Linked DNA regions of Drosophila melanogaster. The protein of the gene in region 2 purifies or fractionates together with the protein of the main gene of each other region. This does not show direct contact. Each region holds a gene or a part of one and is shown on either strand. Other genes may lie near its edges.

The links. The genes of interacting proteins can lie anywhere in the genome.
Region 1: the proteins of Mcm6 (region 2) and chm purify together in Drosophila melanogaster (affinity purification with western blotting; one study listed by BioGRID). This does not show direct contact.

Annotation. Positions count from the first base shown.
Region 1 is NT_033779.5:7,409,969-7,415,942, forward strand, and holds the start of chm (chameau), read left to right. Parts: upstream 1-2,448; 5' UTR 2,449-2,538; coding exon 2,539-3,340; intron 3,341-3,413; coding exon 3,414-4,039; intron 4,040-4,105; coding exon 4,106-4,263; intron 4,264-4,323; coding exon 4,324-4,696; intron 4,697-5,974. Other genes in the region: CG15818 (uncharacterized protein), read left to right, coding at 987-1,838.
Region 2 is NC_004354.4:6,672,614-6,678,690, forward strand, and holds Mcm6 (minichromosome maintenance 6), read left to right. Parts: upstream 1-1,773; 5' UTR 1,774-1,892; coding exon 1,893-4,346; 3' UTR 4,347-4,563; downstream 4,564-6,077. Other genes in the region: CG3198 (uncharacterized protein), read right to left, coding at 7-950, 1,024-1,125; ND-ASHI (NADH dehydrogenase (ubiquinone) ASHI subunit), read right to left, coding at 4,750-4,962, 5,039-5,268, 5,387-5,471; Fum1 (fumarase 1), read left to right, coding at 5,917-6,003. UniProt on the Drosophila melanogaster protein: Acts as a component of the Mcm2-7 complex (Mcm complex) which is the putative replicative helicase essential for 'once per cell cycle' DNA replication initiation and elongation in eukaryotic cells.

The sequences.
Region 1 (5,974 bases), on a different chromosome or scaffold from region 2:
TGATCAATCATCTCATAATAAGTACAGCGAATGTTGAATAGATTCTATTTCAACGGAAGGATAACTTTATATTTACAAGCAAACATTACTTTATCAATTTTGTTAGTTCGTGATTAGAAACCCTATAAGTAATTCAAAAACTAACACACAAGCAACAAATTTAATTGTGGTCACTAAATTAGGGAACCACCCTAGATAAAAAAGCTTTATCATTTCCGGCAGATGTGAATCATTTTAAATTTCTACATATATCATTCTTCTGACTGTGCTAGCTTTCGATTATTTCAACATAGGGGCGTAGATAAAATCTACAATTAACCAGATAATTTAATTGGAAACCTCCAGAGCAGTTAAGTTCAATAAACCGGTGAAAGTGGGCACAAAAAAGAAATTCCTGGAAGAGCAAACAAGTTGACATTAATTAATCAAGTGATGATTATCTAACATTACAGCCGTTACTCGTAGAGAAAAAAAGTATACCTCATTCGTTGATGAATATGCAACAGGTAAATGGAATTCTCATTTCGGATCATTAGTTGATCTGGCCATTTCCGTTTGTGATTTTGGTTACCATAAAAGCTATAAAGATAAGATCGAGCGTGCAGATCCTATAAACGCAACGCAAGTTTGTTTCAGAAGATGGACACGCCCAATATATTTTGATTTTATTATTTAATTTGTTAAATTCTTTATATATACGCACTCCCGCTAGCTGAGTGATCTAATAGTGGAGGATATCGACTTTAGCGCTGATTTCAGAAATGAAGTATGTCATTAAGTTGAAGTACATATCTACTTTACTACCATACCATATTGACAACGCTTTACAAATAATGATAACTTATGATACCACATCAAATTTCTTGTGACAATTTTAATAAGAAGATCAAATATGCTTATCAACCATATTGCCGGGCCTTTAAAAAGAGAGCCAATTACTTCAGTATCAGTTCTTTATCAAGCTTCAACCTCAGTGGTTGTCCAAAATGTTTAGCTCTACGAGAATTATTTTGTGCGCATTTCTATTGCTGTATCCTTACGGATCCCTGATAGAAGCCCAGGAGGGCAGGCGCTATGTGTGTCTATTATCAGATCCTCCCAATCAGTGCAGTGAATATTGCGTATCCGCACTGCAGCCGGTCATCGATCACCTTTCGAAGGAGCAACAGGACTGGGGAGCCTGCGAGGTGAAACTTAATGGAAGCGTCGCGAAACTGGATAAGATCGAAGACCAGTTGACGGCGACACAAATCCAAATAGAAGCCCAGCAAGCATTCCTTGTGAACAACATTTCGAAGGCAATCAAAACCGAGGACCTTGAGCAAAAACTAAAGGATATCGAAGGCAATCAGACAGCGCTGAGTAATCAGTTGAAAGATGGACAGAAGAGGACGGAAAACCAGTTGACAGCCATCCAGAAGACTCTATCCGATATCGAAAGGAAACTCGTGCTGCAGAGATATCAACAGATAGGATCGAGATATTTCTACATCGAACACAACTTACAGGTGAACTGGAGGACCGCCGAGCAGAGGTGCATTGAAATGGGCGGCCACCTCGCAGCATTCCAAAATGCCGAGGAATACAACGCCATAGTGGGCCAATTGAACAAGGCGAACTACTGGCTGGGTGTCAACGATCTGGCCAAGCAGGGCGAGTTTATATCCTTGGCCTCCGGCAAACGAGCTACCTACTTCAAGTGGCGCAAAAATGAACCCAAATACAATAATCCTACCCAGCACTGCGCCTACGTTTTTGGGCACGAAAACATTATGATCGTTCTGTCCTGTACCACTGACGTTATGCATTTCATTTGCCAATCAGACAGTGATGTTTAGTTTTAAAGTATCAACACATGTATGAATGAATATTACAACAAAACCACAAATACTATAATTCACTTTACTGCATTTGATGCAAAAATTGATGGGAACATTTAATAACGCTTTTAGCAATAATTTTTCTTTGTGAGAGGGTTTAAGGGCAATTTTTTTTGACAACAAGTGATTGCCACAGATAGGAAATTATTTCGTTTCAAATTGTCAAAAAAGTCGACATGGCGCCGTAAATAAATTGGCTGAAATGAGTAATAGGCTTAAGAGATTGCTGTTATCGAATTTATTTTATTTGTTTTTCTGGTTTTGGTTCCCCGCACGTCGTAAATTAAGATTGATTCCTCGTTAAGATTATTAAATTTATCGTACTCGACAAGCACTCTTTATAAGCAACAAATGAATAAAGAAATTTTCGACTTTAATCACAAAAACTGGCTTATATCAATTTTAAAAACTCCTATTAAACAAGGCAATAAACTGTGTAGGTTCGTATTTCAATTAATATTTGCTAACTAAAATATTTTTGGAATACGATATTTTTGTGCCCTAGTTGCACATCTCTAGCATATTATAAGCCGATAGCTCCGGCCGATTCCCATGGCGTTCCGCTTGGCATCCACCTCTGGCCACTCTAATCAAAACAATACAGGAAAACAGGCATTTTTGTGTACAAATATTAAAAAAAACATTCTGCGCTACAAAAATGGCCTTGGAGTCCGGCAGCAGCAGCTCGGAGTCGGGCAGCTCATCCACAAGCGGATCCACCAGTTCGGAAACGGGCAGCAGCTCGGACACGGATTCCAGCAGTGCGACGCCGGAGGAGAAGCCATCCACGAATTCCTCCGCCAAATCCCAGACGCAAACACAACAACAAACTAATTCCGGAAATGCACAGAGAAGAAAGCCTGTTCCTGCGGCGTCGGAGGATAAACCCAAGCCGAGCGTAGCGCCATCTAGCAAAAAAGTAAACAATCCTCCCAAAAGTAAACTCTCCAGCGATGACGACGAATATGAGGACTCGGCGCCGCCGGCCAAAAAGAACTCACGTGCAATGGGCAGTTCCACTGTAACAGCGGCAGCTGCCGCCTCAGCAGCCAGGAGAAAACCACCCGCGTCCGTCAACAAGCCAAGCAATCCCGCTAACAAACCGAGCAATCCTACCCAGCGATCGGCCAACAACAACACAAATCGATCACTGGAGAACGGCGAGGGCAAGCGACCCTCGCTCTCCTCCTCGTCCAATAGCACAGATGACTCTATGAAGATCGTTAAAAACGGGCGGAAGGTTCCCCTCAAAATGGCCAGCACGGTGAGGCCCAAACAAATCCGAGGAAAATTGCCGCCGGCAAAGAAAAACGGCGGGGGACCGGTGATCAGCAGTGACGGAAGTTCGGGCTCCGAGAGTGGCTCCAACTCGGGCGACGAATCAAGTTCAGGAAGCGAGTCTGAGGGAAGTGATTCCAGCAACTCCTACAGCTCGCAGCCAGTAAAAGGAGGAGCTAAAGGTAGGCAGGGTATAAAGTATAGAATTTATGTAAGGATTTTAATAATATTTAAATTTAACTCTTATTATTATAGGTAAGAGAAGCGGACCAACAAAAATCCAAAACTCCGACAGCGAAGAAGAGCGAAAAGACAAGGCCAATCCCATGAGGAAACTGACGCGATCACTCAGCATGCGAAGGACAAAACAGCAACCCAAACAGGAAACCGATTCTGAATCCGATGGAGACCTAGAAGATGACAAAATTATGATCTCCAAAAGTCCCGCCAAAAAGCCAGCGCCCTCGAATTTGAACGCCAGCAAAAGCAAAGTGAAAAGGGAACCAATCGGAATCAGCAGTGGCGTGCTGAGCTCCATTAAATCCCGACCCGTGTCACCGATTACCCAGACTGAGAAGAAGTGTCCCATCGAGGGCTGCGATTCATCCGGACATCTGAGTGGCAATTTGGATAAGCACTTTTTGCCGGAGGCCTGTCCTATCTATCACAACATGTCCGCCTCGGAGTGCAAAGAGCGTGCCAATGAGAGAAAACTGAGGAATGAACAGCGACTAAAGATGCCGGTTAACATTGTGACGGCGCCGGGTAACCAAAACACCAATCTCAAGACGCTCTCGCCTGAGCAGCGCGAGTTTCTGGCCAAGATTCGCGAGTCAAGGGCTAACTTTAAGCCGGCGAATAACAATTTTTTAGACTCGAAGGTGAGGATAGTGGGTTAGCTTGAAAGTCCATATGAGACTATTGCTAACTATTTGATTACGCTTCAGGTAAAGCTGGAAAAAGACGTAACGGACGAGGACCGGGAACCAAATCTGGCAGGCCTGGTGCCTGACTATGATTTGCAATTGTTCCGGGAAGCGCAAGCTCAAGCATCCGAAAGGATCGAAGACGAACTCAAGGACCTGCCCGTGGGAAAGGGAATAAAGTAAGTAGTAGTAATATAACAAACTTATGGAGATCAATTTACAACCCTTACGTCTGACAGATATATCAGCATGGGCAAGTACAAGATGAAGGTCTGGTATCAATCCCCTTATCCGGACGATGCTGCCCGCCTGCCCAAAATGTATATCTGCGAATTCTGCCTGCGCTACCAAAAATCAGAGACGGGCATCAAGCGGCATGCCGAGAAATGCGTCTGGCGGCATCCGCCGGGCGATGAGATATACCGCAAGGGCAAACTACAGGTGTGGCAGGTGGACGGGAAACGTTATAAGCAATACTGTCAGCATCTGTGCCTGCTAGCAAAATTCTTTCTGGATCACAAAACCCTCTACTACGATGTGGAGCCCTTCCTTTTCTACATTATGACGCTGGCCGATGTGGATGGATGTCATATTGTTGGTTATTTTAGCAAGGTAAGTAAAGTATTTATTCGTAATGTATATTTTCTTTGGTAATTGTTAAAAACTGAATATGCTAATATGCTAATCAAACATCAAGCAGTTGAAATAACAAATCCACTTTGATTTTCCAGCTCATTGAATTATAAATTTTAAGTTAAATATAATTTTAAGTTGAGTTACATATTGAAGCAGTTAAAGTATCAAAATGAATATTTAATAAGGAGCTTAATAGAGGGCTTAACTACAAAAATTAATGCTTCCCTTTATTCCTAAGCAATTGGAAACCAAAGCGGAAAATCTGATCCTGCTCTAATGATTTCGATTCCTAATTGCTTATTATTTGAATAGTCGCGCTGCAATTGTGCGCCAGAATTTTCCAGAACCTTTATGGTTATTCCCCAGCATAAAATTGAATAATAACATTTTACAGTTTTATGATTCCTTTATGTCTGGAGACGGAATAGAGATGCGAGGAATGTAGAAGCCGGTATCCCAGACTCCCAGAATGGCAGCCACAGCCCATGTACGGTGCATACATATGTACCGTCAAGCAGACTATATGGTTGTATCCAGATGCAGACAGTGAGCTCTGCCTTGACCATGCCCACCAAAAACAGCAGATGATTTTTCCATTTAATTTTTTTGTCAACGTTTTCGGGTAAATAAGCAACAGACAGAGAGAAACAAGCGGCGCGAACGAGAGAGTCATTTCCCCTGGCTTTAAAAAGCAGCCACGGTTTCTTGACCTCCCACCAGAATGTACGGAAAATACGGGTCCGGCGATACATTCACGGGCTTTGGCGGGATCCCACCTTCGGTTTGCAGTTTTACTGCAGAATGCAGAAAGTTTTTGGGCGCTGGCAGAGACTGGGTTTGTGTTACAAATTGCGCATGTCGTTGGCTGATGCTGCAGCTGCTCCTCTTGCTCTCCTCCCGATTCACTGCCCCTGCTCCCGATGATGCCCCTCTTTGCAGCTCCTTTTGTGAACCCTCGCTGTGCTGGCGCAGCATCCCGAGGCAGTCAGAATTTGGCAGTTTCTACACATACTACAAGTTTACATATATTTACTACGCTCGTGCTAGGACATTCATAATTTCTTTACTACCAGGACACGAAATGTACGCCCATGAAAATGTTTAAAGAATGTATTTCAACGGAGATATTGAAACATTTTTAAGCATATCTAAGGAAGTTAAGAATTATATCGCTTGAATCATTTAAAATGTATTATTTTATATTTCGAAATCGCTTCCAAGAGTAACTTAGTATAACTATGGTAGTAAATTAGG
Region 2 (6,077 bases):
CCTTACCGTCTGCTATCGTAGGAGTGGAAGCGCTGCACTCGACCCTCACGTCGACGTCGTTCCTCCTGCTCGCGCTCCTTCTGTCGCGCCTCGTTGATCTCGGCGACGGCGTTGCGCAGTTTGGAGTAGCCCAGATGCTGTTTACCCATCAAATGGTCCTCGATCCGCTGCTGTGCATCGCCGACTATCAGGAAAGCGCCACAGATTTCGCACACCTTCATTTGTTTCTCGGGCATGGCATCATGCGACCAGCCAGCCGCCTTGCTATCCGTCTTCTCTGACGTTTTGTCCTCGCTGGCTGCACCAGCTGCTTCACCGGCATCGTCAGTCGTTGTGACAGCTGCTTGTGCGGAACTTGGAGCTGCATCCGGCGCTTCATCTAGCGTGGTGGCGGCTGGAAGAGGAGTAGTTGGACTTTCTTCGCTGGGATTTGTGACCGGACTGCTGCGCGGGTGATGCTGCAGCTCGTCCTCCGCTGACTTGGTCAGGCTGATGCTGCTGATGGCCTTGTGATGGGCCTCGTATTGCTGTACCAACTGTTCCTTCTCCTCCTTGAGCTCCTCGCACACGGTCATTAGATCTTGGGCCTGGTCCACGTCACCCCGAATGCCGGCTTCCTCTGCCTCAGAGAGCAGCTTATTGATCCGGGCCGTCAGATTCGCAAGCTGCTCCTGGTGCCTGCTCAGTGGCGCCGGTACATTGGGCTGATCCCTTTGCATTAGCAGCAAACGCTGTTTTCCCTTCTGGATCTTTCGATCCACATCGTGCAGCATAACATTGCAAAAGCGCAGGAATTCATCCTCGTACTGACGCTTCCGCTGCGAGGGTCGAGCATCCTCGTAGAGATGTCGGGCTTCCTCGTCGTGGATGCGGGCACAGGGGCCCAGATCTGCGCGCGTATTTATGAATAGATCGTGCGGACAGAACTTAACGTTGTAGAACTGACAGAACTGCGGACAAAAAAAAAAACCCCCATTATTTTGGAGGTGGCTCTTTGGCGCGCCACATCCTGAGCGTACTCACCTCCGGATCCTCCCAATTGACCTTGGCGCCCGCCTCCGAGGGATGCAGGTTGCGATTCCTGCCCATCAGCTCGTCGAGCATCTGCCTGGCGGCGTCCACCATTTTCCGGGGCTCCTTCGCAATTTGTGGGGACAAAACTCCGAAGGGGGCGGTGGTCCCAGTGAATCAAATGAATCCAATGGTACCACACCGACTTCTATGGCCACAACGGTGCCGGCGAACAGGTGAACACACGTGCAACGCTGTGCTCCTGCTGTTTAGCCAAAAAATTAGCCAAAATAGAATCAATAAAATTATTTCACGAAATTCGCGTGGTATCGATTATTTCGGAATAAGCCTATCGGTGCACAGCGTTCCGCGACATGAGTGGGCGAACTATCGGTCTTAAAAACGTACTAAATTCTATAAGTTCATAAAATAAACAACTTAAGTTGAATGTTTTAATACTTTACTCGTATAAAATTATTCTTATAATTCATGTCATTCATCTCTTGGATTATTAAGTTATCCGATTAAGTTATTAAAACAACGTATCTCAATCAACTTTTGGACTATTTGATCTATTCAAAAAATTCGAAAACTACTTGTTGATTAGCAAGGGCAAGAAATTTAAGTAAGCTTTCAGCAATTAAAAAAATATATATTTTTATATATATTTGAACTAATAAATTAATGTGACCGTAAGACATGTTTACCTTTGCTCTTGAATAGCTGGCATCCCTGCGCACGAGCGTTGCCACCCCCAAGCAACTGTCAGAAAAAGGCGCCAAAACCGAGCAAAGCACGCAGCTGTAAACATTCGCAAGAAACGAAAGCAATCTCGGAATTTAGCGCGCAATTCACCAGTTTGAAGCAAGAAGTGACCCAAAATGGATGTGGCAGATGCTCAGGTTGGCCAGCTGCGCGTAAAAGACGAGGTGGGCATTCGGGCCCAGAAGTTGTTTCAGGATTTCCTCGAGGAATTCAAGGAGGATGGCGAGATCAAGTACACGCGCCCAGCCGCCAGCTTGGAATCCCCGGATCGCTGCACCCTGGAGGTCAGCTTCGAGGATGTGGAGAAATACGATCAGAATCTGGCCACCGCCATTATCGAGGAGTACTACCACATCTATCCGTTCCTTTGCCAATCCGTTTCGAACTACGTTAAGGACCGGATTGGACTGAAGACCCAGAAGGATTGCTATGTGGCCTTCACGGAGGTGCCGACGCGTCACAAGGTTCGCGATCTGACCACCTCCAAAATCGGCACCCTCATCCGCATCTCCGGCCAGGTGGTGCGCACCCATCCCGTACATCCGGAGCTTGTTTCCGGCGTCTTCATGTGCCTCGATTGCCAGACGGAAATTCGGAACGTAGAGCAGCAGTTCAAGTTCACCAATCCCACCATTTGCCGCAATCCCGTGTGCTCCAATCGCAAGCGTTTCATGCTGGATGTGGAGAAGAGTCTGTTCTTGGACTTTCAAAAGATTCGCATCCAGGAGACGCAAGCCGAGCTGCCGCGTGGCTGTATTCCCCGCGCGGTGGAGATTATCCTGCGCTCGGAGCTGGTGGAGACCGTTCAGGCTGGCGATCGCTATGATTTCACGGGCACTCTGATTGTGGTGCCCGATGTGAGTGTCCTGGCCGGAGTGGGCACACGGGCGGAGAACAGTTCACGCCACAAGCCCGGCGAGGGCATGGATGGCGTCACTGGCCTAAAGGCACTGGGCATGCGAGAGCTCAACTATCGGATGGCCTTCCTTGCCTGCAGTGTTCAGGCAACGACAGCACGTTTTGGCGGCACCGATCTGCCCATGTCGGAGGTGACAGCCGAGGATATGAAGAAGCAGATGACAGATGCCGAGTGGCACAAGATCTATGAGATGTCCAAGGATCGCAATCTCTACCAGAATCTAATTAGCAGCCTCTTTCCCTCGATCTACGGCAACGATGAGGTCAAGCGGGGCATTCTTCTGCAGCAATTCGGTGGCGTTGCGAAGACCACCACCGAAAAGACATCGCTTCGTGGCGACATCAATGTGTGCATCGTTGGCGATCCCAGCACGGCCAAGTCACAGTTCCTCAAGCAGGTATCCGACTTCTCGCCGCGTGCGATCTACACCTCGGGCAAGGCATCCTCGGCAGCGGGCTTAACCGCTGCGGTTGTGCGCGACGAGGAGTCCTTTGACTTTGTCATCGAGGCGGGCGCCCTCATGTTGGCCGACAATGGCATTTGCTGCATTGACGAGTTCGATAAGATGGATCAGCGCGATCAGGTGGCCATTCACGAGGCCATGGAACAGCAGACCATATCGATTGCACGCGCCGGCGTACGAGCCACACTCAATGCGCGCACTTCGATTCTGGCCGCCGCCAATCCCATTAATGGTCGCTACGATCGCTCCAAGAGTTTGCAACAAAATATTCAGCTATCGGCACCGATTATGTCGCGATTCGATCTGTTCTTCATTCTCGTGGACGAATGCAATGAGGTGGTGGACTATGCCATTGCTCGCAAGATCGTTGATCTGCACTCGAACATCGAGGAGTCCGTGGAGCGGGCATATACGCGCGAAGAGGTCCTTCGCTATGTGACATTTGCGCGGCAATTTAAGCCGGTTATTAGCCAGGAGGCCGGACACATGCTGGTCGAGAACTATGGCCATTTGAGGCAGCGCGATACGGGCACGTCGGGCAGGAGCACCTGGAGGATAACGGTGCGTCAGCTGGAGTCCATGATTCGACTGAGCGAGGCCATGGCCAAGCTGGAGTGCTCGAATCGCGTGCTGGAGCGACACGTCAAGGAGGCCTTCCGTTTGCTCAACAAGTCCATCATTCGCGTGGAGCAACCGGATATTCATTTAGATGACGACGAGGGTCTGGACATGGACGATGGCATTCAGCACGACATCGACATGGAGAACAATGGAGCAGCGGCCAATGTGGATGAGAACAATGGTATGGACACATCCGCCAGCGGCGCCGTGCAGAAGAAGAAGTTCACGCTTTCGTTCGAGGATTACAAGAATCTGTCCACCATGCTGGTGTTGCATATGCGCGCCGAGGAGGCGCGCTGCGAGGTGGAGGGCAACGATACGGGCATCAAGCGCAGCAATGTGGTCACCTGGTATCTGGAGCAGGTGGCGGACCAAATCGAATCCGAGGATGAGTTAATTTCTCGCAAAAATCTCATCGAGAAGCTTATCGATCGCCTCATCTATCACGATCAGGTCATTATTCCGCTCAAGACATCCACGCTGAAGCCGAGAATTCAGGTACAAAAGGATTTCGTGGAGGAGGACGATCCCCTGCTGGTGGTGCATCCCAACTACGTTGTGGAGTGATCCCAGCCGATCAACAGTTTATTACTATGCCCTAAATCTAGCTGGTTAAGTTTCTGTTTCCGCGTCTTGCTTTTTTTTGCTCACCCAAACAAACAATGTATTTAGGCAGTAAGTTTATAGTTTAGAGACATTATTGAAATCCATTAAGGATTTCTTGGTTCAGTTACGTTCCAAATCATTCATGTTTTCGCCGAAATAAACGTTCATCTCAAGATTCATTTCGTTTTTTGCTGCTCATTAAGAACGGAATGAAAAATGCAACCCAACATGCGCAGTCAAAATGATAGCAAATCCATGTTTTAGCTTGGTTTCCATTCATTTTAATTGTATAGATGCGTTGATTAATTGCCTATGAAATAAAAACGAGGCGCGCAGTGCGATCGAGAGCGTGATAGATACAATCCTACTTCTCGAAGGTGTAGTGCTTGACGCCAGGGCTGGGATATTGCTTGGCGGCCACGGGGCGGTACATCTTCTTGTCATCCAGCCAGTAGTAGAGTGCCAGGCAGCCGGACATCACGCCCAGGAAGCAGGCAAAGTAGTACGCATTGCTGTAGCGTGGCGGTTCGGCCTGCGACCAGCGATCCTCGCTGTACAGATCATGATCCGCCGAGATCTGCAATGGAAATGGATCAGGGTTTGACTCTTTTTTTATGCAGCAGCTGCTGCTAGCCGTTGATGTTGGCGCTTACGGGCTCGTGTTGGTTGCGCTTGTGCTCCGGATAGTCCCAGGGATAGTACGAGTCCTTGGCCTCCACACCCAGACCGTAGCCCAATTTGGGATAATCTCCGTAGCCCAGACCATCGTCCGCATACGGTTTGTACTCCTCCGGCAACAGATAGTACTTCTTGGCCGCCGCCAGGCGCTCCTTCTCCGTCTGTGGATACGGACCCGGCTTGTAGTCCTTATTCCAGCCAGCCACTAAAACGTAAATGGCGAGAAATTCGAATTTGTAGCCATTCGGTGCATGCAAAAGTTACGTAAACAAAACAGTGGGGCAGGTTGCACTGTTGCCAGCGCAGCCCCGATTCACACTTACTGCTGCGGATCGCCTGGCGAGCCACGACGGGATTGGCGGCGCACAGCTTTTGGGCCAAGCACACGGTTTTCACAAACGCCGACATTGCAGGCTTGTTTCCACTAAAAAAAAGTTCCTCTGAAGTTACGATTCCCGAAAAAACAGCTGTTCGCCTGCGGATGGCACACAAACGATAGGATACAGTGCCGCAACGGTCTGCTATCGATAGTTGTAGTTTCAAAAAAAACAAATAGAACTATCAACAGATTTTAAATTTGTTAGCTATGGAATAGGAATTTACAGTTAGTACTAAGGTAACTAGGTGTTTCTTAAAAATGTTTAGGATTTTTGTTTCTCAATTTTTATGAACTTAGGCAGCAATCGTTACAAAGTCGATAAGAACAATCGATGGTCCGATAGCTCTCACCCGCGCATCGAGGTGCTGTTGTTGTTTTTTGTTGTTGTTGGTGTTGTTGTGGTGGGCTCGTCCGTGAAAGATCACTTGCTTGCAAACTTATTTATTAATTACCGACTAAGGAATAAGCATAGAGATGGTGCTACCATTATTGCAACGCTCCACGCTTCGCGGCGTTCAACAAATGACGAAACCCTGGGCCGCCATTGGAAGTTTGCGTCTGGTAAGGATTCCAAGTGCTGTGCAAATTGGATATATATTTTGTAGCGAGATGGCAAAAATATTTTGCCTTATGTA